3 linked regions of the Xenopus tropicalis genome follow. The protein of the gene in region 2 interacts with the protein of the main gene of each other region in a pairwise test. Links are inferred from orthologs where the notes say so. Each region holds a gene or a part of one and is shown on either strand. Other genes may lie near its edges. The genes, in order: rabgef1, trim54 and ccdc146.

What was found.
Region 1: the proteins of trim54 (region 2) and rabgef1 interact in binary tests that used the Homo sapiens proteins (3 or more experiments, as listed by UniProt). The two-hybrid records come from large-scale screens. The link is inferred for Xenopus tropicalis from reciprocal best matches to the Homo sapiens genes TRIM54 and RABGEF1.
Region 3: the proteins of trim54 (region 2) and ccdc146 interact in binary tests that used the Homo sapiens proteins (3 or more experiments, as listed by UniProt). The two-hybrid records come from large-scale screens. The link is inferred for Xenopus tropicalis from reciprocal best matches to the Homo sapiens genes TRIM54 and CCDC146.

What each region holds. Positions count from the first base shown.
Region 1 is NC_030678.2:48,709,980-48,718,632, reverse strand, and holds part of rabgef1 (rab5 GDP/GTP exchange factor), read left to right. Parts: intron 1-1,641; coding exon 1,642-1,723; intron 1,724-2,204; coding exon 2,205-2,337; intron 2,338-2,688; coding exon 2,689-2,780; intron 2,781-7,200; coding exon 7,201-7,457; intron 7,458-8,235; coding exon 8,236-8,634; 3' UTR 8,635-8,653. UniProt on the Homo sapiens protein: Rab effector protein acting as linker between gamma-adaptin, RAB4A or RAB5A. Involved in endocytic membrane fusion and membrane trafficking of recycling endosomes. Stimulates nucleotide exchange on RAB5A. Can act as a ubiquitin ligase.
Region 2 is NC_030681.2:162,397,552-162,406,304, forward strand, and holds the start of trim54 (tripartite motif-containing protein 54), read right to left. Parts: upstream 3,800-8,753; 5' UTR 3,639-3,799; intron 2,204-3,638; 5' UTR 2,190-2,203; coding exon 2,022-2,189; intron 1-2,021. UniProt on the Homo sapiens protein: May bind and stabilize microtubules during myotubes formation.
Region 3 is NC_030679.2:78,142,718-78,150,421, reverse strand, and holds the end of ccdc146 (coiled-coil domain-containing protein 146), read right to left. Parts: intron 6,493-7,704; coding exon 6,364-6,492; intron 5,296-6,363; coding exon 5,158-5,295; intron 3,584-5,157; coding exon 3,335-3,583; intron 2,041-3,334; coding exon 1,837-2,040; 3' UTR 758-1,836; downstream 1-757. UniProt on the Homo sapiens protein: Essential for sperm flagellum biogenesis and male fertility.

The sequences.
Region 1 (8,653 bases), on a different chromosome or scaffold from region 2:
AGGGATTCTTGGTAGCTGGTCTGGACTGCACATACAGTACATAGAGTATAATGAGAACTTAGATGCTAAAAGCTGAACTTTTTCTCTGCTGTGCATGCACACAGCCCAGGGTAGCCGCAATGATCCAGCAAGGAAACTAGATGGGTCTGGGTTGCCTAACCTGTGTTTGTATCAGATGACTATTGCTTGAAATCTGCATTTTCATTATGCAAAAACAAGTGTTATGGCAGAATAGGACAAAGTGCTCACCAGTTTGGCTTAAAGGTGAAGGAAAGGCTAAGTCACCTGGGGGTGCCAAAATGTTAGGCACCCCCTAGTGACTTTAATCGCTTACCTTGTACCCCGTGCTGGTGCCCCTGTTAGGAGAAAACAGCACCAGCCCGAGGTGACTGCAGCAAGCACTTCCTTCTGTCGTCAAAATCCCTGTGTAGTAGAGTGAAAAGCTGACATTTTTGTTAAAGTTCGGCTTTTCATTCTACTGTGCAAGTGTGCGAACAAGGAAGAAGAGCTACCCCGGGCTGGTGCGGTTTTCTCCTAACAGGGGCACCAACCCAGGGTAAAAGGTAAGCGATTAAAGTCACTGGGAGGTGCCTAACATTTTGGCACCCCCAAATGACTTAGCCTTTCCTTCTCCTTTAAATCTGACCTTTGTGCAGTCATTCCTTCTGTGTAATGATCAGTAGAATAGATTTACCAGCATCTCCAAAAACTTCTGATTGGAAATAGTCAAGGCAAATACATGGGAAGGAGTCATTTGGTTAAAATTGCCTAAATATGCTAGACCCACTGCTATATAAAATATAGCTTTAACCCATTTATCTCGGGGCTGTTGTTTAAACATGTATTATCGTAGTTGGAACTAGTCTTAGTTAAATGATGCTTCCCCATACACAAGTCTGGGGCCCCTAACAGCTCAGTTTTAGGGAATGCAGAATTTCATTAAGATTGTTATTATTCCAATAATGTTTATTTTATAATACTTAGAGATGCACTGAACCCAGTTTTGGTTTGGCCGAATACCGAACCGAATCCCATTTGGGATGGTTACATTTTACACTTCCTTGTTTATGCACCGCATTAACCCTTCCAAATCCTAATTAGCATATGCTAATTTGGATTCGGATTCCATTTGGACAGGACTGTGGATTTGGCTGAATCTGAACCCTGCCAAAAAAGGCTGAATGCTGGCCGAATACTGAACCGAATCCTGGATTCGGTGCATCCCTTATAATATTTATAACATCAATAATAATCACTATATTCTTACCTTTACCATCTCAATGGATCAGACAGTGTAGCATATTTTTGGTACATGATGGATTAGCCTGTAAAAGTAGTTCTTCCCAGTTGTTCACAAACAATCCTTTCAACTTACTACATTGATAGTCCTATTCAGTAAAAATGTTTCCTTGTAGTTAGAAACAGCGGGAGCTAATGTGGGATGGTCCAGGCATGAAGAAGGCTATAAAGGTTGTTACAGGTTTCCCTGGTGAGAAACAGGACTGTATCAATCAAATGGCATATGTCCAGGAGCTGCTGTGACCTTATGCACTTTTTTCACTGGATAACAAAATATGATTTCATTTTTGGTGGTTCTTAATTGGCTAATATATCCTGTATGTCCTTTTTTACTTATCCTAGGAATCAAATATTGACGAACAATCTGAATTTACCCAGGACTTTTATCAAAACACAGCAGAGAAGTTGCAGATGTATTGGAAGGGTAACATTCTTTTTGTTGTGATGATTTTAAAGATTGGAAGCATCTCATCCCAAACCTGGTCTACATTCCTAAATATTTGTGCATTTTTTTAGTAGCTTAAGATAATAAAGGGTGTACTATGTCATGGATTTTTTTTGTTTGTGGAATTGGGTCCTGTTAGAAAAGCTAGTTTTATTATGATTTAAGACAGACTTTAGATTTAGTACTTTAGGGAAGACAGTGATAGTGTATTCATTTCACGCATGAATAAAGTAGTGGTTGTTTAAAATATACTTAGTAAATCTAATTTTATTATGTGGTGGTCACGTCTAACTAAACTCTTGTTTATCAGAGTATCTAATGCATATTTTTTATGGTTAGCAATTCAGAATCTGACTCTGTTTTTCTAGAATTAGACATTTCGCTTTCTTTCAAAATGCCCAAATATCTGCTTTCTGTGAATGAAAATGTTATACAGAACAGAAGCTGATTCTATTTTCAGTGTCCCCTGATAAAGTTGAGAAAGTGACGGATCAAATTGAGCGGTTCATAATGACTCGTCTCTACAAGCACGTGTTTTGCCCAGAAACCACAGATGATGAGAAGAAGGACCTCACAGTCCAAAAGAGAATCCGGTATGGGGGGGCGCTGGTTCCTTTCACATTAGATCCTGCATTGTTAGTCTGTATTGGCATTAGATTATTAGATATTATAGCTAATCTTATAAATATCAAGGCTCCTCCCACCACAGCTATGGAACTAATCACCAACAAATAACTAGTTGATAGTATATTATATGTTAAACAGATGAGCAATGCAGAGAAAAGGGTAATCAGAGCATGAATAGAGGTCAAACAAGGTCACAACAAAAGGTAGATAAAATAAATATTTTTTTTAATAAAATGCTTTGAAAGGTATCTTACTAGCAAATCTTGTGTCCTTTAGGTATTTACCACATACCTAACTTTTTAATCTTTTCTCCACAGGGCTTTACACTGGGTAACTCCTCAGATGCTTTGTGTTCCTGTAAATGAAGATATCGCAGAGGTGTCTGACATGGTGGTAAAGGCTATAACAGGTCAGTGTTACTCATAGCATTCTGTATCTTTAAGGGTGAAGACACACTGAGCTACAAGTAGCAGCTACTTTTTCATGGCTACTAAACTCCAGAAAATAAATACCCTGCCATAGACAATACTGAGAATTGCTTCTGCTAAAGCACACGTAGAGACAATTATCAGTAAATGATTAGCATTGTCTATCTTAGTAGCCACGATAAGTAGTTACTAGTAGCTCTGTGTGTCTTCACCCTAACATAGTTTTAAGCAATGTGGTATCCCTACAGGGCCACTACCTAAAATCCACCAAGCTGCCTAGAGACCTTAACAAGACAGTATATTGGAGTGTACAGAATTATTAATGGAGTAGCTGAAGTCAAAAAGCTGGGAGGATCCTAACATTACATTTACCCTTTAAGCCAGAGTAACTGAACGTGACCATAATGTGACTTCCCTTCCCAATGCTCGTCAGTCTGCAGCATTTACCTGTGCATGCATATGTGATTGGTTGATTTTTTTCCTTTTTTTATTTATGGCATTTACATAGCAGTGCAGAAGAAAAGAGCAAACATGGCTGCTTTGTGGAGCAGTAGTTGATCCACTCCTAATAGTAATGCGACCAAACTTTGGATTTGATAAATAACATTTTATAAGTGCATAACATAAACACAATGGCAAGTGTAAAAACAGGTTTAGTGGGTATCCGGGTCACTTTAATGGAAAAATATGTCCCGTTTTTTTTTTTTAACCATTGAGTTTTATTAAGAAACAGATTACAGACATAGTTTCCAGTCAGAACATCAAAGGAGAGATCATATGTTACAAAGCATATATCAAACTTTTTGTGACATAACATGTGCTTTGGTGGATCTCGCTATAACAATACATACCCTGTAATTCTGAGTTCCACTGTTTTTGTGCTTTATAAATCTACAATTAACTACTACCTTAACACAACTATAAACTGTGCATTGCCAACGCTTGTTTCTAGACCAGAGTGATGGGATGGAAGGACCATTGTGTGGTAGAGATGGAGGGGAGGGGGGAGGGGATCAACACTCATTTTTTGTTTCTGATACTAGGTTGCTCTGTTATCGGGGTGGTATCAATTTCCTATATTGTGTTTGTCTAGCCACGAGGACCAAATTTTCTCAGATTTATTTGGGCATCCTCTTCTGACATATAGCAATCTATATGTGGGCATTGCTTGGTTGACTTGGCTTACCCAGAATTGTATGGATGGAGCTGAGTGGGCTTTCCATTTCATTGTGATAGACTTACGGGCATATGCTAACAGAATAGAAATGAGAGCTCTTTCCGCAGTTGTTGGGGCTAGATCAGTAGTTTGGTTTAGTAGCATTCCGGATGGTGTTACCGTGATGGGGGCGCTGGTTAGATCAGATATATAGTCTGCCACCTCTGTCCAGAAGCTCGCTATTTTGCTGCAAGTCCAGACCATGTGGATGAAATCTGCTGGGGATTGGTGGCAGCGGGGGCATTCGTCTACCTGGGATGGAGATATCTTTGCTAGTACTTTGGGTGTGATATATGCCCTGTGCAAGAATTTATACTGTATTAGCCTGTCTCTTGAGGCCACTATATAATCAAAGGGTTTCCTTCCATTGCTCTTTATTCATGTCTGGTATATATATTAGCCATTTGTTATAGAGTTTGTTTAATAAGGTATCATTAGCCAGTGCCAAAAGGGCATAGGAGCGGGAGAGGGCCTTGGCGTGTGGGCAGTTGTGTGCTTGTTTTTCTATTCGGGAGGGGGTAGTTTGTAGGGTTGTTCCTTGAAACTGTGAGTGTACTGCATGTCTCAGTTGTAAATATCGGAAGAGCATCCTATTTGGTAGGTTAAAATTATTTTTTAGGGCCTGGAAGTCTAGAAGTTTCCCTTCCTTAACTATATCCTGTATATACTTGACTTGGGAGCTGGCCCATAGCTGGGGGTCTGGTAAGGTTTGGAGGTGCTGTAGTTTGGGGTTGCACCAGAGCGGGGTGAGTTCAGAGCAGTGGTTTTGTGGTTTGGGAAAGAGGCTGAGGGCGGTATTCCAAGCCCATACTATTTCTTTCATGAGTGGGGTTGCTTTTGAGGTGTAGGAGCAGCCCCTATATAAGAGGTTCTTTAGCTCTTCGTATGAGCCCACTGTCTGGGCTTCAAGGCGTGTAGCCGGGTTGTCCAGGGTTGGTGCTGCCCACCAGTTTGCAGTGGTTAGTTTAGCGGCTATATAATATAGAAAAAGATTTGGGGCTGCTAAACCCCCCGCCTGGGTTGGAAGTTGAAGTTTGGCTATGCTGATTTTGGGTGTGGAGGGGTGCCAGTATAGTTGTATAAGGAGCGCCCTGATTTTGGTGAAAAAACTGTTGGGTATTTTTGTGGGTGATTGGCTAAATATGTATGTAAATTTTGGTAGCATTACCATTTTAAAGAGGTTATACACAGGGTATATTGTTACTTTATCTGGTCCTCACAGCTTTTTATAGGTATTGAACTTTATGGCCTTTTAATGTGTTAAATAATTACTTAATTTCTCCACTAGATGGCAAGCTAGAACAACTGGTAATCTGTTTTCTTCATTGGTGCTGCCTTGACTTCATTTAGTGCAATGAAGGAAATGTGTTAAAGGAACAGTAACACCAAAAAGTATAAAAGTAACTCAAATATAATGTGCTGCTGCCCTGCACTGGTAAAAGTTGTGTGTTTACTTCAGAAAGTCTACTATAATTTATATAAATAAGCTGCTATGTAGCCATGGAGGCAGCCATTCAAAGGAGAAAAGGCACAGGTTACATAGCAGATATTCTGCTATGTAACCTGTGCCTTTTCTCCTTTTTTCCAGCTTGAATGGCTGCCCCCATGGCTACACAGCAGCTTATTATATAAATTATAGTAGTGTTACTGTAGCAAACACACCAGTTTTACCAGTGCAGGGCAACAGTGCATTATATTTTTATTACTTTAAAGCTCTTTCATTTTTTGGTGTTACTGTTCCTTTAAGTTGGCCATACACAGGCTGATTCTAGCTGTTGATATCGGTCCCTCAGACCGATTCAGGAGCTTATCAGCCTGGGTATGGGTATTAACGCAAGGCCTGCCCGACCGACATCTGGCCTAAAATCGGGCAGGTTTAAAAATTTAGTCTGATCTGGACTGCATTGGCTCGTTGATGCGGTCCCCGAACAGACGGACGCCCATACCTGGCATTCTAATTTGATCATTTGCCCCCAGAGCCAAACAACCTAATTAGCCCGATATTGCCCGCTCGTAGGTGGGGATATCGGGAGAAGATCCGTTTGCTTGTCGACCGCGCCAAGCGAGCGGATCTTAGCATGTATGGCCACCTTTACTTAACTTGCCTTCAAATCTGACTTTTAAGCCCATTCGTCATCCTTATCTTAGTCAGTTATCATATATATCATATATATCATATAAAGCTCTGTTGTAAAACATGAGTATCCTATAAATAAAAGATTGTAATATCAACCCTTATTGCACTCCAAAGGGATAAATATAAATTAAGCAAAAGGCTTGTGGGGTTTTTTTCATTACTGTTCTGCTTATGGTGCCGCTACCCACCTTGGAAGCTCCAGGGGTCAACAAGTGTCTGCAGTTAGCACTTGGAAACACACACTGGTGATATTTTAGTGCTTTTCCAGGTAATGTGTGAACAAAGCTGCTTGCTTTTCATGTGAATGTGCAGTTAGAGATTGGAACAGATTATATGCTCATAACCCTTCTGTTGTTCACCTTTAAATAAACTTTTGATGTAGACTGTGATATTCTGAGACACTTTGCAATTGGTCAGAAGGTTTTATCTGTGTTTTTGTAATTAGTTAGCTTTTTGTTCAGAAGCTCACCAGTTTGGAATTTCAGCATCTATCTGGTTGCTGGGGCCCAAGTTACCCTAGCAACCCTAGGCAGTGATTTGAATGACTGGAATATGAATATGAGAGATCCTGAATAGAAAGAAAAGTAATATAAAACTAACAACAATAAAACTGTAGCCTCACAGAGGGCTGCCAGTGTTAGTGACATTTGAAAGCTTAACAGAGTCATAAGAAAAAGGCAAATAATTAAAAAACTCGAAAAAAGACCAATAAAAAAATTCTCTATTCTATAGTAAAAGTTTACTTAAAGGTGAACAACCCCTTTAAACTGAAAAGGTTTATAGTATCTCCTTCTGTAGAACTGAGTACGACTGTCTAATTGTGTCAGTATTTACTGTCATTAAACAGTCATTCTCTTATGCTAATTAAGTATAACTCACAAAAAGCTGTAGATACATGGGTTTTTATGGAAAAAAAATCTTTTATGAGAGTCTAAATTTCACACATTGGTATAAGGCAATAAGAACTCCTGTCACTTAAAAAAAAAAAAAAAAAAAAAAAAAGAATTTTGACAAATATTCTTTTCTTTTTAAATTCTCTTCTCTGCAGATATTATTGAGATGGACTCAAAACGTATCCCCCGTGACAAACTTGCTTGTATCACACGCTGCAGCAAACACATCTTTAACGCTATCAAGATCACAAAAAATGAGCCAGCCTCAGCTGATGACTTCCTGCCCACTCTCATCTACATTGTTCTCAAGGCAAATCCACCTCGCCTGCAGTCCAATATTCAGTACATCACTAGATTCTGCAACCCCAGCAGACTGATGACTGGGGAGGATGGCTATTATTTCACTAACCTGGTGTGTGTGCAAAACAGCTCAAATTTTTCACTACATCAATTTAATGTATAGATGCTTCTCTCTTGCACAGAGCCAGTCCAGTTAAAGGAGATGGAAGGGTAGAATCACTGGGGGGTGCCACAATGTTAGGCACCCCTCCTCCCCACCTTTCCTTCTCCTTTAAAGGCATACTGTTGTCATAATTAAAGGCAAAAAGATACCCTCTTTTATTTATTTTTGTACACAGACATAAATGATTTCTCAGAATCAGAGAGGAACCATGTCTGCAGCTGCTTATTGTACTTAAAGTCCCTTAGTTATACATAGGATCAGTGTGCCACCCACCATGGAAAGCAGAGGGAAGGAGTTTGTTTTTTGTTTTTTTTTCTGTTTGCTAATGCTTTAAAATAATATACACAGCAGGAAATCTGGATACTTAGACAGGACTATACCAGTTATGTCAGAATCAAAGGCTTATTAACTGCACTGCTGCAAGGAGAGGTCTGAGTATAGTTTATTGGTGAGAATGAGAGATATGAGAAAATAGTGTCTGGATATAAATATCACATTCAAATTTAATTTTATTCAACTCAACATTTTGAGGTAGCATATGCTTCCTCTATTCAACTTGAATCCAGAGAATTAGATTTTAAAATTGCCAATTTTTTTATTCTAAATTCAGCAAGTGTAACAATAAAAAAATGTTTTAACATGCTACAAATAAAAGGTAATCTTTTTTATGAACAGATTGCAACTACATGGTTCCAATTGAAATGCCCCCTTTCTTCTGTTTCTGTAGTGCTGCGCTGTGGCCTTCATCGAGAAACTAGATGCACAGTCACTGAATTTAAGCGAAGAAGAGTTCAGCAGGTACATGTCTGGGCAGGCTTCTCCAAAAAAGCAAGACCTAGAGAACTGGCCCGCAGACACATGCCCTGGTGTAAAACAGATGCACAGAAACCTTGACCTACTTACCCAGCTGTCCAAGAGACAAGAGCATATTGTAAATGGGGCTAAGAAACTAGAGAAAGACCTTATTGACTGGACGGATGACGTCACCAAGGAAGTCAAGGACATTGTAGAAAAATACCCACTGAACATTAAAACAGCCAGCCAGGCCCTCGCAGCACTTGAGTCAGAAAATATAGAAGATGATAAGCTGCCCCCTCCACTGCAGCCTCAAGTCTATGCAGGATAATAGACTCAGCCTAGAAGAC
Region 2 (8,753 bases):
ACTATTCTCTATGTTGTTCCTCCTCCTACTGAGTCTCCTACATCTTGTTCCTCCCCCTACTGACTCTTCTCCATGTTGTTCCTCCTCCTTACGGAGTCTCCTACATCTTGTTCCTCCCCCTACTGACTATTCTCTATGTTGTTCCTCCTCCTACTGAGTCTCCTACATCTTGTTCCTCCCCCTACTGACTCTTTCCATGTTGTTCCTCCTCCTTACGGAGTCTCCTACATCTTGTTCCTCCCCCTACTGACTCTTCTCCATGTTGTTCCTCCTCCTTACGGAGTCTCCTACATCTTGTTCCTCCCCCTACTGACTCTTCTCCATGTTGTTCCTCCTCCTTACGGAGTCTCCTACATCTTGTTCCTCCCCCTACTGACTCTTCTCTATGTTGCTCTTCCTCCTACTGAGTCTCCTACATCTTGTTCCTCCCCCTACTGACTATTCTCTATGTTGTTCCTCCTCCTACTGAGTCTCCTACATCTTGTTCCTCCTCCTACTGACTCTTCTCTATGTTGTTCCTCCTCCTATGGAGTCTCCTACATCTTGTTCCTCCCCCTACTGACTATTCTCTATGTTGTTCCTCCTCCTACTGAGTCTCCTACATCTTGTTCCTCCTCCTACTGACTCTTCTCTATGTTGTTCCTCCTCCTTACGGAGTCTCCTACATCTTGTTCCTCCCCCTACTGACTATTCTCTATGTTGTTCCTCCTCCTACTGAGTCTCCTACATCTTGTTCCTCCCCCTACTGACTCTTTCCATGTTGTTCCTCCTCCTTACGGAGTCTCCTACATCTTGTTCCTCCCCCTACTGACTCTTCTCCATGTTGTTCCTCCTCCTTACGGAGTCTCCTACATCTTGTTCCTCCCCCTACTGACTCTTCTCCATGTTGTTCCTCCTCCTTACGGAGTCTCCTACATCTTGTTCCTCCCCCTACTGACTCTTCTCTATGTTGCTCTTCCTCCTACTGAGTCTCCTACATCTTGTTCCTCCCCCTACTGACTATTCTCTATGTTGTTCCTCCTCCTACTGAGTCTCCTACATCTTGTTCCTCCTCCTACTGACTCTTCTCTATGTTGTTCCTCCTCCTATGGAGTCTCCTACATCTTGTTCCTCCCCCTACTGACTCTTCTCTATGTTGTTCCTCCTCCTATGGAGTCTCCTACATCTTGTTCCTCCTCCTACTGACTCTTCTCTATGTTGTTCCTCCTCCTATGGAGTCTCCTACATCTTGTTCCTCCCCCTACTGACTCTTCTCTATGTTGTTCCTCCTCCTATGGAGTCTCCTACATCTTGTTCCTCCCCCTACTGACTCTTCTCTATGTTGTTCCTCCTCCTATGGAGTCTCCTACATCTTGTTCCTCCCCTACTGACTCTTCTCTATGTTGTTCCTCCTCCTATGGAGTCTCCTACATCTTGTTCCTCCCCCTACTGACTCTTCTCTATGTTGTTCCTCCTCCTATGGAGTCTCCTACATCTTGTTCCTCCCCCTACTGACTCTTCTCTATGTTGTTCCTCCTCCTATGGAGTCTCCTACATCTTGTTCCTTGTCTCTAATACAGGTGGGGGAGAGGTGCCATGAAGGAAAGGCAGGTTCTAGTTATAGGGAATTCAGTTACAGGGAAGGGCAAAGCATGACGGATGCCCCGGTGCCAGGAACTGACTGTTTATATTTATATAATTCTACTTTGGTTGCAGTTGGCACAAGGTTATTTATAAATAGATCCGGCATTGTATCACGGGGCCTATTTCCCACAGTGAGGGGGTCTGTGAATTCCAACAGCCAATGGAGGCCAACTGTATTCACTGGCCAATCAGAGGAGGCGACCAGTCAGAGTTTTCTGAGATAAAATAAAGAGGTTATGTTTTTTTCAATTGTGGTTGCTGGGGGGCAGTCATTAATGAGATCCCGGTACCTCCTGAGACACCTCCCTGAGATACCCCCCCAACAGTAAGAATGGCCCCTGTCCCATAGCGTTAGTGCCACACACAGGGGGTTAGACCAAGAGAGCCCCAGGGGGTACCTGGAAGATATCATTGGCACACTTTCGGCACAGGTTGTGCTGGCAGGGCAGGATCACCACGGGTTTGGTGAACATCTCCAGGCAGATGGGGCAGATGAGCTGCTTCTCCAGGTTGTCCATGGTCTGGGTGTCTCCGGCCAAAGGCTTGAAACCCACCGCAAAATTCATCCCCTCACAGGATGCTAGGAAGAAACAGGCAGCAAGATGTACTGGGGGTATATATGTGCCCCCCCAAGGGCCCCTCATCCCTAAATCCTCCCACCAACAGTACCACGTGCCCTCCCACCCACTCACAGAGGCCCCAGCACCCCACCCTGATCATGCTCACCCCCAGTCCCGCAACCTCACCCCCTGCCTTTCTAACCTGCGGGCACTGCCCCCAGTCCCACAACCTCACCCCCTGCCTCTCCAACCCGCGGGCACTGCCCCCAATCCCGCAACCTCACCCCCTACCTCTCTAACCCGCGGGCACTGCCCCCAGTCCCGCAACCTCACCCCCTGCCTCTCTAACCCGCGGGCACTGCCCCCAGTCCCACAACCTCACCCCCTGCCTCTCCAACCCGCGGGCACTGCCCCCAATCCCGCAACCTCACCCCCTGCCTCTCTAACCCGCGGGCACTGCCCCCAGTCCCGCAACCTCACCCCCTGCCTCTCTAACCCGCGGGCACTGCCCCCAGTCCCGCAACCTCACCCCCTGCCTCTCTAACCCGCGGGCACTGCCCCCAGTCCCACAACCTCACCCCCTGCCTCTCCAACCCGCGGGCACTGCCCCCAATCCCGCAACCTCACCCCCTGCCTCTCTAACCCGCGGGCACTGCCCCCAGTCCCGCAACCTCACCCCCTGCCTCTCTAACCGGCGGGCACTGCCCCCAGTCCCACAATCTCACCCCCTGCCGTTCTAACCCGCGGGCACTACTTCCAGTCCCACAACCTCACCCCCTGCCTCTCTAACCTGCGGGCACTGCCCCCAGTCCCACAACCTCACCCCCTGCCTCTCCAACCCACGGGCACTGCCCCCAGTCCCGCAACCTCACCCCCTGCCTCTCTAACCCGCGGGCACTGCCCCCAGTCCCACAACCTCACCCCCTGCCTCTCCAAACCACGGGCACTGCCCCCAGTCCCGCAACCTCACCCCCTGCCTCTCCAAACCACGGGCACTGCCCCCAGTCCCACAACCTCACCCCCTGCCTCTCCAAACCACGGGCACTGCCCCCAGTCCCGCAACCTCACCCCCTGCCTCTCCAAACCACGGGCACTGCCCCCAGCCCCACAACCTTAACCCCCAACACTTAGCAGCTTCCCCAGCCAAGGGGCCCTCAGGCTGATGCCACTGTGCCAGGCGCTTGGGGAGTGTGGGCAGTAGAGGGTAAGTTGCCCGGCCTGTCGGTCTCAGTTGAGTTTATCTTCTCTTGTATAGTTTTAAATAAAAAACATTAAAACCCTGCCCCCCCCCTCAATTCACACAACATCCCCAGTCCTGTGACCCCCCCCCCACAATATACCAAGCAACCCCCCCATCTAAACCCCTGAAAATTACTGTTCCCACCCAAAAACCCTGTAACAACCACCCAGACCCCCCAACCCAGCTGCCCCCCAAGTTCTGTGCCCCCCACTTACTGGTACTGGGTGTCCTGCCCTGAGCGCTCTCACAACTCTCTCCCCAAATGATACACAAACTGGGAGACTAAGTGTTGAGGCTCCGGTCACTTCCTCCTGCCCCCCCCCAATGATTAACCCTTCTGTGCCAGTGGCTGAGCAGCTAACAGAGCCCCTCGCACCAGGCTGTGCCCCCCCACTATCAGGCAGAGTTAATGCGACATGAGTGGAAGGGGGGCAGGGGGGCAGGGGGGCATTCCTGCTGTATATTTAGCTCAGGGATAAGGAGCGGGGGGGGGGGGGGGCAAGTCTGGGGTGCAGCTGTCACACACTCACTGAGCAGCTGATAGTGAGTCACACTCACACAATGACTCAGTAACAAAGGCACGCACCCCCCCCCCCACATACATATATATATATATATATACATACACACATGCACCCCCCCACCCCCTATAATATATATAGGAACCCCTCTCAGGCAGCACAATAAAACACTAAAGATAAGTGGGGGGGGCCTGGGGGGGTTTCTGAACAAAGAGATTTAGTGAAGCCGCATTAGTTGTATGGGATTAAACCCAATGGGAAAACTGTCTGTGCAACAATGTGGGTCCCCTTGTAACTGTGCTGAATGTAACTGCTCAGTACTGATTACTGGCAGCACCTAATTGGCTGGATTAGCTCGTTACGCCTTGACCTTCACAGGCAGGTGTGTCCAAAAGGTATTTAATGTGACCAATTGCAAGTTGTGCTTCTATTTGACTCTCCTGAGTGACAGCAGGGGATCCTCACAGCAACTCTCAATAGATCTGAAAGCAAAGATTGTTCAGTACAGGGTTTAGGGGGAGGCTACAAACAGCTCAGATCCCAGAGGGTTAACCTGTCAGTTCCAACTGTAAGGAACGTAATCAGGAAATGGGAGGCCACAGGAACAGTTGCTGTAAAACCCAGGTCTGGCCTGTCAAGGAACATCCAAGAGCGGAATATTGGGGGTGAATTGTGAGACTGGTTCCAGACAAGCCAAAGATCCCACCTCACCCCCCAGGAACTTCTTGCTGCAGACGGTGTATCTGTACCTGGTGCTACAGCGCCATTTGCACAAAGACCATCTGGATGGCCGGGGGGTGGGAAAGGAGCCCTTTCTGCCCTCGCGCCCCACATACCGTCGCTTGTTGGGGCAAAAGCTCATTTAGCTGCAGGCATCTGGGAACAAAGTGCTTTGGGCTGATGAGACACAAATGGCGTTATTTGCTCATAACAAAAAGCGCTTTCCCAGAAACCCCCACTGCCGACTGTCACATTGGGTGGGGGTCCCATCATGCTGTGGGGCTGGTTCAGGGACCGGGGTCCTTGTTAAAGTTGAGGGTCGGATGAATTCACCCCAATACCAACCCTTCAGGATCATGTCTAAGTGTCAGGCAGAGAGTTGCAGTTCCAGGGGTTGGATATTCCCACAATGAGCCCAAACACAGTGGGAAAGCTACAAAGGCATTTATGCGGGGGGTCGCACCCCCCCTGAATATCATGGGAAATCTATGGGCTGATTTGCAGCAGTCACATGGAACTGGGGGGAGTCTGTATGGGCAGTGATTGGGCAGAAATACCCCCATACAGAACCCACACACTCACCCAGGGCTGTAGGGGTGCCTAGGGGCTGTTACATCTCAATATCGCTGTTGGGGGGCCACACTCACTTTGTTACGGTGCATACTGTATATTTTCTGAAATAGTACTGTTCCCATAGGGCAGGTTATATATTAAAGGGGAGGTGCTACTGTGAGAGCCCAGCCAATGAGAAACACCAAAACATTAAGTTGGGTTCCCCCCCAGGGGGGGCACATATTGGCCAGCACTATGTATATATATCTCCTGTCCCCCCATCTCCGTCTCCCCCACAAACAAAACAGAATATCCATGGGGTGTGGGAGAGTGATTTTATTGGTGAGTCAGGGGAGGGGGGGGCTTCTCCCGTCCCCCCCAATCACTAACATACAATCATACAATGTGACATGGGCACCAGCTCCGTACTGGCACCTCTCTGTGCTGGTGAGAAATGGCAAAAGGTGCTGATGAGAGAGAGGGGGGGTAGTTACTGTGCCCGGGCACCCCCCTGGCAGAGACACATGGCATGACTGGCACATCTCTGCTCCAGTCAGGGACTGGGCTCTACTCAACGCTGGCTGTGGGGGGGGGGGGGGGGCAGATATAGCAGAACCACAGGGACTGGGCCCTACTCAGCGCTGACTGTGGGGGGGGGGGGCAGATATAGCCAGAACCACAGGGACTGGGCTCTACTCAGCGCTGGCTGTGGGGGGGGGGGGGGGGGGGGCGATATAGCAGAACCACAGGGACTGGGCTCTACTCAGCGCTGGCTGTGGGGGGGGGGGGGGGGCCGATATAGCAGAACCACAGGGACTGGGCTCTACTCAGTGCTGGCTGTGGGGGGGGGGGGGCAGATAAAGCAGAACCACAGGGACTGGGCTCTACTCAGCGCTGGCTGTGGGGGGGGGGGGGGGGGGGGGCGATATAGCAGAACCACAGGGACTGGGCTCTACTCAGTGCTGGCTGTGGGGGGGGGGGGGGCAGATAAAGCAGAACCACAGGGACTGGGCTCTACTCAGCGCTGGCTGTGGGGGGGGGGGGGGGGGGGCGATATAGCAGAACCACAGGGACTGGGCTCTACTCAGCGCTGGCTGTGGGGGGGGGGGGGCAGATAAAGCAGAACCACAGGGACTGGGCTCTACTCAGTGCTGGCTGTGGGGGGGGCAGATAAAGCAGAACCACAGGGACTGGGCTCTACTCAGTGCTGGCTGTGGGGGGGGGGGGCAGATAAAGCAGAACCGCAGGGACTGGGCTCTACTCAGCGCTGGCTGTGGGGGGGGGGCAGATAAAGCAGAACCACAGTGACTGGGCTCTACTCAGTGCTGGCTGTGGGGGGGGGAGGGGGGGCAGATAAAGCAGAACCACAGTGACTGGGCTCTACTCAGTGCTGGCTGTGGGGGGGGGGCAGATAAAGCAGAACCGCAGGGACTGGGCTCTACTCAGCGCTGGCTGTGGGGGGGGGGGGGGGGCAGATAAAGCAGAACCACAGGGACTGGGCTCTACTCAGTGCTGGCTGTGGGGGGGGGGGGCAGATATAGCAGAACCACAGGGACTGGGCTCTACTCAGTTCTGGCTGGGGGGGGGGGCAGATATAGCAGAACCACAGGGACTGGGCTCTACTCAGCGCTGGCTGTGGGGGGGCAGATAAAGCAGAACCACAGGGACTGGGCTCTACTCAGCACTGGCTGTGGGGGGGGGGCAGATAAAGCAGAACCACAGGGACTGGGCTCTACTCAGCACTGGCTGTGGGGGGGGGGCAGATAAAGCAGAACCACAGGGACTGGGCTCTACTCAGTGCTGACTGTGGGGGGGGGGGGGGACAGATAAAGCAGAACCACAGGGACTGGGCTCTACTCAGTGCTGACTGTGTTTGGGGGGGGGGGGGGTGAGGGCAGATAAATCAGAACCACAGGGACTGGGCTCTACTCAGTGCTGGCTGGGGGGGGGGGGCAGATAAAGCAGAAACCACAGTGACTGGGGCTCTATTCAGCGCTGACTGTGCGGGGGGGGGGGCAGATATAGCAGAACCACAGGGACTGGGCTCTATTCAGCGCTGACTGTGTGTGGGGGGGGGGCAGATATAGCAGAACCACAGGGACTGGGCTCTATTCAGGGCTGACCGTGCGGGGGGGGGGGGGGGCAGATATAGCAGAACCACAGGGACTGGGGCTCTATTCAGCGCTGGCTGTGGGGGGGGCAGATATAGCAGAACCACAGGCACTGGGCTCTATTCAGCGCTGACTATGTGGGGGGGGGGGGGGCAGACATTAAGCACTGGCAGGGACTGGGTTCTGAGGTCCAATATAAAGCAATCATGCAGATATTAAGGGGGGGGGGGGGTACAGTGCTGGTTGTTGAACACAGAGGAAGGAGTCAGACTGGGTCAGATGCTGCTCATCAGAACCCTACAGACTCTGGGCCCCAGATTTTCGGTACATTACATTGGCAGTGCCGGTCATGGCACAAGGTAAGGAAAACAGCGACTCACACTTGGGATTATGGGAAGGTCCCCGGCCCTTATCTTAGCAGCCAATCACCAGCTAATAACAGACAAACCGTATACAGAAGGGGGGTGCTGATGGCAGAGAAGGAAGGGGTTTATTGTTGGCAGAGGATTGGCTACAGGGAATCCAGTCTGATCCAATGACACTGATGTGCAACACAGACTGTGCTCCCCCAGGTTACATGCTCTGAATTCTGGGATTGGCACAGACCATTCACACACCGGACAAAAGTGGTGGAGCGGGTACTGTGAGTAATGATTGGATGTCCCTTCCAGTACCAGACAATGGCGCCGATTGGTGCCCACGTGCCAGTCTCCGCTGGGGATCAGATTCTCTTTGTGCTCCTCCCTGCCCTACATGCCAGTCACACCTAGGTACAGAGTTGTCAGTCAGTCCCAACACAATAAAATGTGGCCAATGAAAAGCCGATTGCTCCGCAGGGGAGGGCAATCAGTCAATTATCCTCGGGGGCGTTGCTGGTTACTGATTGCTCTTTGGAATGGGGAGTGGCACAGCAACCGTTCCTTGATGCCCACACCAGTGGCAGTTTCAGTCTGAGCTATGGTGGGGTCGTTCCTACACGGGGGGCAGAAGTCCCACCAACACAATGAAAGAGAAGGTCTGTCCAATCATGGCTGCAGCATAATGGGCAAATCTCGGGCACCAGCACCACGGCAAATGGATCCTTGGTGCCCCTGGGGCATAACACAGTGAGATGGGAGCAGCGCATGGAAGCGAGGCTGCTGGCAGGAAGGGGGCAAAACTGACAGACAGGGGGGTCTTTGGTCATCACAAAGTAAGAGCAAATCTCCTTGTAGCCCGTGGCACCCATTCATCAGTTCTGCTCATTGGCCTATAGTGGCACGGGATGCACAGGGCTAACCAATGAGATTGCTGGGTGTCTCCCTTCCCTTGCAGTCCAACTGAAGAATTGGCAGATGGTGGCACAGGTACCAGGTAATTATAGGACCCTCGCTACTTCCCCCCCGCGAGCGCTAAGTCGGGAATCTGGGGGCCAATGGATCCAATG
Region 3 (7,704 bases), on a different chromosome or scaffold from region 2:
GTAAACTGGACCCTAGTAACCAGAGCTACTGGAACTGCAAACTGCTGAACAAAATCCTAAATACAGCTGAGTTGCACTTTAATCTTTAATCCTGTCTACTTTTCATATGTCTGTTTGGTTCATAACTGGTGAGGTAGAGCCCTGTCAAAGAGGGTATTGGTTATTTCATTTTTTTCCTTCCTGGTGCTAATAAAATCTGAACAAGAAGTTAAAAAAAAACATAAAAAAGTAATTAAAAATAGAGAATAGATTGTCTCCCTTTATTAAAGGAGAAGGAAAGGTAAAAACTAAGTAAGCTTTATCAGAAAGGTCTATGTAAATACAGCCATAAGCACTCACAGAAAAGCTGCTCTCTCTATCAAAAGAAACACAGGATTTCTTGTCTCCTTTTTTATAAATATGTTCTTCCCAGTCAGACTTCCTGCTCTCAGAAAAATATTTTAGGGCACGGCATGAGTCTGCTCAGTTTGCTTCTCACTCTCTCCCCCTCACAACTGTGCTATGTAATCTGAGCTACCAGCAGCCAGATCTGCAGCACAGAAGCTACAGAGACCAAGCTAAAATGGCAGCTGCTATCTTAAAGGAGAAGGAAAGGCTAATAAAGAGTTAATGTCAGTCCTCTCAATAGTGCCCTTAAGTCTCCCCATATTTCTCCTGTTCAGATGATCAGAAGCCTCATAGGAAAAAAAATCCAGAGCTGTGTAAAGAAAGTTCCCATAATGCCTCACTCCTGCACCAAGACCCCTGTACATGCGCAGTTAGTAAGACTATGAGGAAGCTTCCTGCTGTATGGCGCAGATCACTAATTTCTAAGGGGGGGGGGGAGCTGGAGAGAGTAGAGAGCTACACAGACGCTGGCACAATGGCTGGCACAAAATGGTTACCTTCTCCTTTAAAGATCACAAAAATTGTGGGTGTTTTTTGTTTTACCATGTTTTTAATTGTTTAAAGACCACTTTAAATGCCCTGAAATCACCATCTATTGTCATTAGAATTTGACACCATATGTGATTGTCACAAGACTTACATTCAAAAGTGGGCACATCTTCAGATCCACAGATTCATGCAATCATCATGTGACAACCAACAATATTTTACACAGGACCCTGAGGGTCATAAAAAGCAATTTAAAAGCAGTTTAAAAGAGAAAAATTAGTTGGCCAAAACACACTGTTCCTGTAATTGCCATTAGAGCGGCAGATAACCTTCACAAAACGTATTGGTTTCAGCTTGTGCACCACAAATAATAACTTTCTACAGTTGTTTTCCATTTCCTGTTAAACTTTTTTTTTTTAAATTTAGTAGCAGCTCAATAAGTTCTTATCACTGAGTCACTAACTGTTGAAGTGTTATACTTTTAAAGGAGAAGGAAAGGCAAAGTCACTTGGTTTTCTTGGAATGTAAAACAATACAATAATTCTCATAAAACAATACACCATCTTCAGGGACATGGCCAAAAATGGTGCAGAGCCAGGAGATACTCCTGACCCACCATGCTAAGTCCCTATGTCTCACCAACTCCAATGCGAGCAAAATATGTAAACTCTCTACTACTTATTCTCTTCTTTTTCACCCCCCCCCCCATTCACTCTCTTCTCCCCTCTCTCTTATACATTGTTTTGTTTGTTTGAAAAAAGGAAAATAAAAGCAATTTATATTAAACAAAATGGTGCAAAGCAGTAGCACTGTCAAGCAAAGGAAGTGGGCAAGGGCATTGTGCCTTTACAGCTCCAATTTAAAAGACACTATCTCATTGTATAAGGGCACAACAGGTGCTATGCTGGTATTAATAAAGGAAGATTGTTGCTGCAGATCATTGATAAGTTGTATATTAGCTTATATTTCAATAGGCTTTATTATTGGCTTCCTTATGTGCCTCATATTGGAACCAGTTTCACTGGGTTTGAAAGGAGCTAAAATTCCATAAGGTCGGGGAAGTGGAAGAGCACTTTCGTCATCAGGAATGTAGGCATTGGGGCGTTGCTCAGCTGTAGTGTATGCCCCATTAGGCAACCAATGCTGTTCCTCCTCCTCAGCCATCTACAAGAGAGAATATTTACAGCCATTAGATACTGAGTCTGTGATCCTTTTATTATGAAATGCCAACATACAAAATGTCTATAGTGACATGAGAGGTTAAATGTAAGATATCTTATGTAGGCTGAGGCAGATGCATGCATTTGTAGGAATAAAGTGAAAAATAGATGTTGAGAAAGCATATAAAGACATTTTAGAATGCTGTATTTTGTATGTAATTTCCTATTCAAGTATATGATGTAAAAAAAAAAATAAACTCAGAAGTAACATTTTACTAAGGCTTTGGATTGTGTTCACCTTTCCGCTAGATAGTCTATGCGTTTAGCTGTCTACACACAACCATGCAATAAATGGCAGACATACATATTAAGGGCTTCTTTGTAGATTGAATGCAAGGTCATTCAAATTTGCAACAGATGTTAGAAGTTGCAGATCTTGTTTATGGACACAGAATATTCATCTCTATGGAATTATAGAGTTATGTAATGATTTTCTGATATGTGCAGCATTATCAGTTCCTATCAGGGTGCCTCCCCAGGCGCTGTTTGATTTGCACATTTACTTACTTTAGTGTACTGGCACATGAGGAAAATTGCAAAGTGTGGGCAAAGAAGGCAGAAAAGTGTATAGATTTCGCACAACAGAAAAATCCAACTATCTACTGCAAAATTTCTGATTGTGATTTTTTTTTTCAGCATTTTATTTAAAAGTTTTATAACAACCATTATTATTCACGTGTACAGAGTACAGATTATAATAAGTATAAAGCATAAATTACAAAAGTGAAGGAAAGGAAGACTAAAAGAATGAGAGAATAGGTTATGGGGGGGGGGAGATTGGAGGTGGGTTGGGTAGAGTGGCTCTCCTGTTTGTGATTTTTTTAGCCTTGCAAACTAGGACCAGCATTTTTGGCTCATGTCTGAGTCTATGCACATTTACTCATGGAATCTAGCTTCCAAATCAGACAAAAGTTAGTGATGGGAAATCCAATTCACACTGAAAGCTAATTCTAGAGGCTTATATCACCATTACAAAGTGACAGTGCCAAACTGTAGTAATGTAATTGCCAATAACAACCAATAAGCAATTCATTTTGTTTAGACTGCTAAATCAATTGTCTGATTGTTTGTGTTGGTAAATAAAGTGGTACAATTTAGCACTTGTGCTACTAAATGAGTCTTAATGATGCTTAATTCCAATGTAGGTGGGTTTAGAATATGGACAGCATTAGAATTTTCCCACCAAGTTTTGTAATATAAAGTTAAACCAACTGGGATTACTGTATATAGTTACTTACTCTGGCTTTGTCTTCCTTCTCCTTTTGGAGTCTATGCTTATCTCTTATCATTTTTTTCCATTCATTCTCTGTCCCTTCACTAGGCGGAAGTCCTTGTTCCATCCTGGTATGACAAGCCTCCACCATTTTTTCCTTGTTCCTTAATTCTTCCTGAAGCTTTATAGAATTTGCTTGTTGCATTGATAACTCTGCAATCAGAGACATCATCTTCTGCGTTGTGTTCTTTATCTTCTTGTGGAGTTCATTCATCTGCCAATATAGGCAGTTTATAAACAAAAAGCAATATGACCAAGAAAAAAATAAGTTTTACTGCCTCTTTCCATGTTAAGGAGCTCATTTATCCCACTGGCTTAAAATAAAAGTTTATACATATAGGAAGATCTAGGAAATAGAGCATCAGAACAGAGAACAAACAGTAGATCAGTGGCTCAGGAGGTGCACTTGTTCTATTTAGAACAGGAGGTAGGTTGGGTGCACCAAGTGCATTTGTGATAGTTAAGTGCAGGTAGTGTGTTTTCACGCAAGTACTTTTAATGCATACATTTTTGCGCAACTACAGCTGTGTTTGTAAGTGACCCCTGTGTTTGTTGTACCCCCTAAACATTGCAGATCTCTGTATAAATATATTGCGAAAAACTTCTCACGTGGAACGCTGCTTTATCTAAATAAACCATTTTCATAAAAATATACTTTTCTAGCAGTACAGTATGTGCCATAGGATCCTAAATAGAAAACGGACAAAAAAAGATGTAAGAGCAATATTTATCGATATAGAATTTTACCAAACTGTAATAATAAGATATATACTGGGGGATAGTTTTCCTTTAAGGCTATCCCACTTGTAATAGGTTTAGGTAGTTTATAGATCTTAACAGTTTCTGAACTATTTAAAATAATGTCCAATGCCTAATCCCTGCATGTGTCCATATATTAATAAAGTTTTTACACTATTATGTTTTCTCTTGTTTATATTTTGTCAGTGCTGAGATCTATGATGTATATAGTCCTGTGCTGGTTGGTTTTTTTTCAGTTTACCTGACATGGTGATTTCAAGTGACATGCAGCAGTACTGAACAAAGTGGCATGGACCTTTCTTTGCATTTAATTTAGCAGCAATTATATCTTGTGTCCCAAACATATGGAGAGTGTGGTTTGATGACAATCCCACACATTATAAAACAAGCCTCTACGCAGAAGCGCCCCAGTTACCAGGGGCGGCAAAAAGCCGCTCCTGGTAACTTTAAGAGCCGAATTTCTGGTTTTTAAACCGGAAATTCGGCTCTTCTAGTGCAGAGAGCGCAATTGCAGGAGCCGCCTCAGGCGGCAATATGTCTAGAATCGCCCCTGCCTCTACTGGAACATCTTGCCATAATAATTTGTGAAAACTAGTGTTTAAATTAGAAAACATTTGCTCTAGAAGAGCCCGGGGTGGCCTGGAGGCATATTTGGGCAGTCTATTTCTCTCTCTCTCTCAGGTTTCTCTGAGTCACATGACAGAAATGACATCATCAAGCACCAATTATAACTGGTGACATCACCAAGCACAATTTATAAGGATATAACTTACAGGATATTTATGGCTACTGTGTATTACAGGATGAATACTGGGTGTGTTTGAACTTTATTCATTACTTTTTTTTTTCTTTATGTGGCCACAAGATTTACTGGCAAGGATTTCTTTAACTTTTTTTTCTTTTTAAATAAATACCCACTTATCATGGTGACGCTATTTTCTCAGACAAAGACTGTAATCCAAAAATGTTTTGAAAAAATGACCAGTCTGTTTCATTCAATCATTATCTATTTTGTTTCTAAACAATTACCTTTTTAGACAGCAGTAGTGTGTCCTGCTTTCCATTTTCTGCCTTTGTGTGTATTTTCTTTGTCAAGTGGGAAACTTGTTCATAGAGTAAATCTTTCTCCAATAATTGCTCTTCTTTCTGCGCAAGGTGCAACTCTAGCTGTGAACACAAGGTAGTGGTAGGTAATCAGCCATATACACAGTAAATCATTGTACTTTTATAGTTTATAGCATTTCCCACAAACTTCCTTATTGTTTTATTTATTTCTAACCGCATCATTATGATTATGTGTCAGTGAACTAATATGTTTTGCCAACCAGACTGACCAATGGCCAGCAGCAATTATACAGGATTATGGGTCCACATGTGGTCAGGTTTAGTCTACGTCTATGTCATTTACTTTGATTCTGAATAATAACATGTGAATTATCTTTCCAAATATAGCTAGCTGTGAGATACCAAGCCATGCAAGGATTTAATCAAGTTACTGGTAAATGCAGAGATGTCAATAAACCCCATGTTATTAGGGATATGAGCCACTTTGGGCATTTTGAAACCTTGTATTATATTACCATTTACAGTGAAGAGCAATTAAATTAAAAAATAAACAGAACTGAAACATTGTCACCCTAATAATTTTGAGTTATGTGGCATCTTTGTTCATTCTTACTTCTGCTAAAGAAATATAAGTGAAGGCTCGTTTGTCTCTACAGGTATAATAGATCTGCATTGTTGGAAAAGTGTTTTCAAGTAACCTCATCCCAACAGTGTAGATACATTATTGAGAGCGCTATTATCACATTTTTTTCTTGAGCAGGAAAGCAGAATTAACAATTAATATGTATACATTATTTGTCTAAAATAAATGACATGATTGAAACTCTGGGATTTCATAGGTTCGAAGTGACACTTTGTCGTGGTGGGCATCTTACTTCCACACACAGAATAGAAAGATATTTCTGCAGTTTTTTTCATAATTCTGTAAATCACTTATTATTATTATTATTATTATGCACAAAATTGGTTCAGTGTGTTTTTTATGCTCTAGCAGGGACACATGCTGTAACTATTGGATCTTGGAACCTCGCATGAGAAAATTTAAGCACAATTTCTATCATGATCCATAAACAAATTATGACAAATAAATACAGATGGTGGGAATAATTGTGAACCCATATTCTGATGTTTAACACCAATGTGTAACTTGAATACATGTATTCTTCCTACCTCCTCTGTTTTTTTCATAAGTTCTTGCAGGGAAGGATCTTTTCCTTCTAGCAGGCGGGTTCTGTATTCTTTCCCTGGGTCTTCAGTTTGTGTTTCCAGCTCAGCAACTCTGTCATTGCACTGCGAGAGCTGTTAAATAGAGAAGTCCAAGCATTCCAATTTATTAAACAGCCAACAAGACTTTGCCCATCAAGTTGAAGGGTAAGAGAGAAGGGCCTAATTCTCAGTGTCCCTCAAAAGGAGGGGAAACCAGTTCATAGTTACATAGGGTTGAAAAAAGCCCAGTCCATCAAGTTCAACCCTTCCAAGTAAACCCAGCACACACAAACCTATACATACCTATCTACTCACATACACAAATTACATATAGTTCAAGAGGATATATGCCAAAATATACATGTGGCAGGGAGGAAGGCAGTATTAGGGCTCTGGCACACGGGGAGATTTGTCGCCCGGGACAAATCTCCCGTGTCTCGGGTGACTAATCTCCCCGGGTTGCCATCCCACCGGCGAAAATGTAAATCGCCGGTGGGATGGCATACGCGGCGGCGCGATTTCAGTGAGATCGCGCAAGTTTCAACTCGAGGCAACTTGCGCAATCTCACTGAAATCGCGCCGCCGCGTGTGCCATCCCACCGGCGACTTACACTTTCGCCGGTGGGATGGCAGGTGATGGCAACTTGGGGAGATTAGTCGCCTGAGACACGGGAGATTTGTCGCGGCGACTAATCTCCCCGTGTGCCAGAGCCCTTAGAAGCCAATGGCTCCCATGCGTCTTCAGGTTAAGACACATGGAGCTACTTAGTAGCAGCTACTTGTCACGGCTACTAAACTCCTGCCATAGACAATACTGAGAATTGCTTTTGCTAAAACACACATAGAGACAATCAGCATTGTCTATATTAGTAGCTGTGACAAGTAGCTGCTACTAGTAGCTCTGTGTGCCTTTACCCCCCACAGGTCTGTTAATCATCAAGCTTCTGCTACAATGTTCCAGCAGTACAAAGAATAGCAAGGCCAGGCCTGGATTTGTAGGAAGGGCAGGTAAAGCTTTAAGTGTTGATGACATTCAACACAGCCCAGATCAAAGAGAATAACAACATCTTAGAATCTATGATGCTGATGCAAATGTACCATTGTATCAGTTATGTCGATTCTATGTGCATGGCACTTGCTATTCTTTGTTAAAGGTGTAATGGACACAACACAGCTGCCACCTAAGGTACATAGTGCTTGCACCTGGTAACATAACAACACATTGGTCATTTCCATGCTGGATTTTTTTTAGGAAAAGTTTAATTAAAGATAAACTATACCCCCAGAGTGGGGTATAGTTTCCCT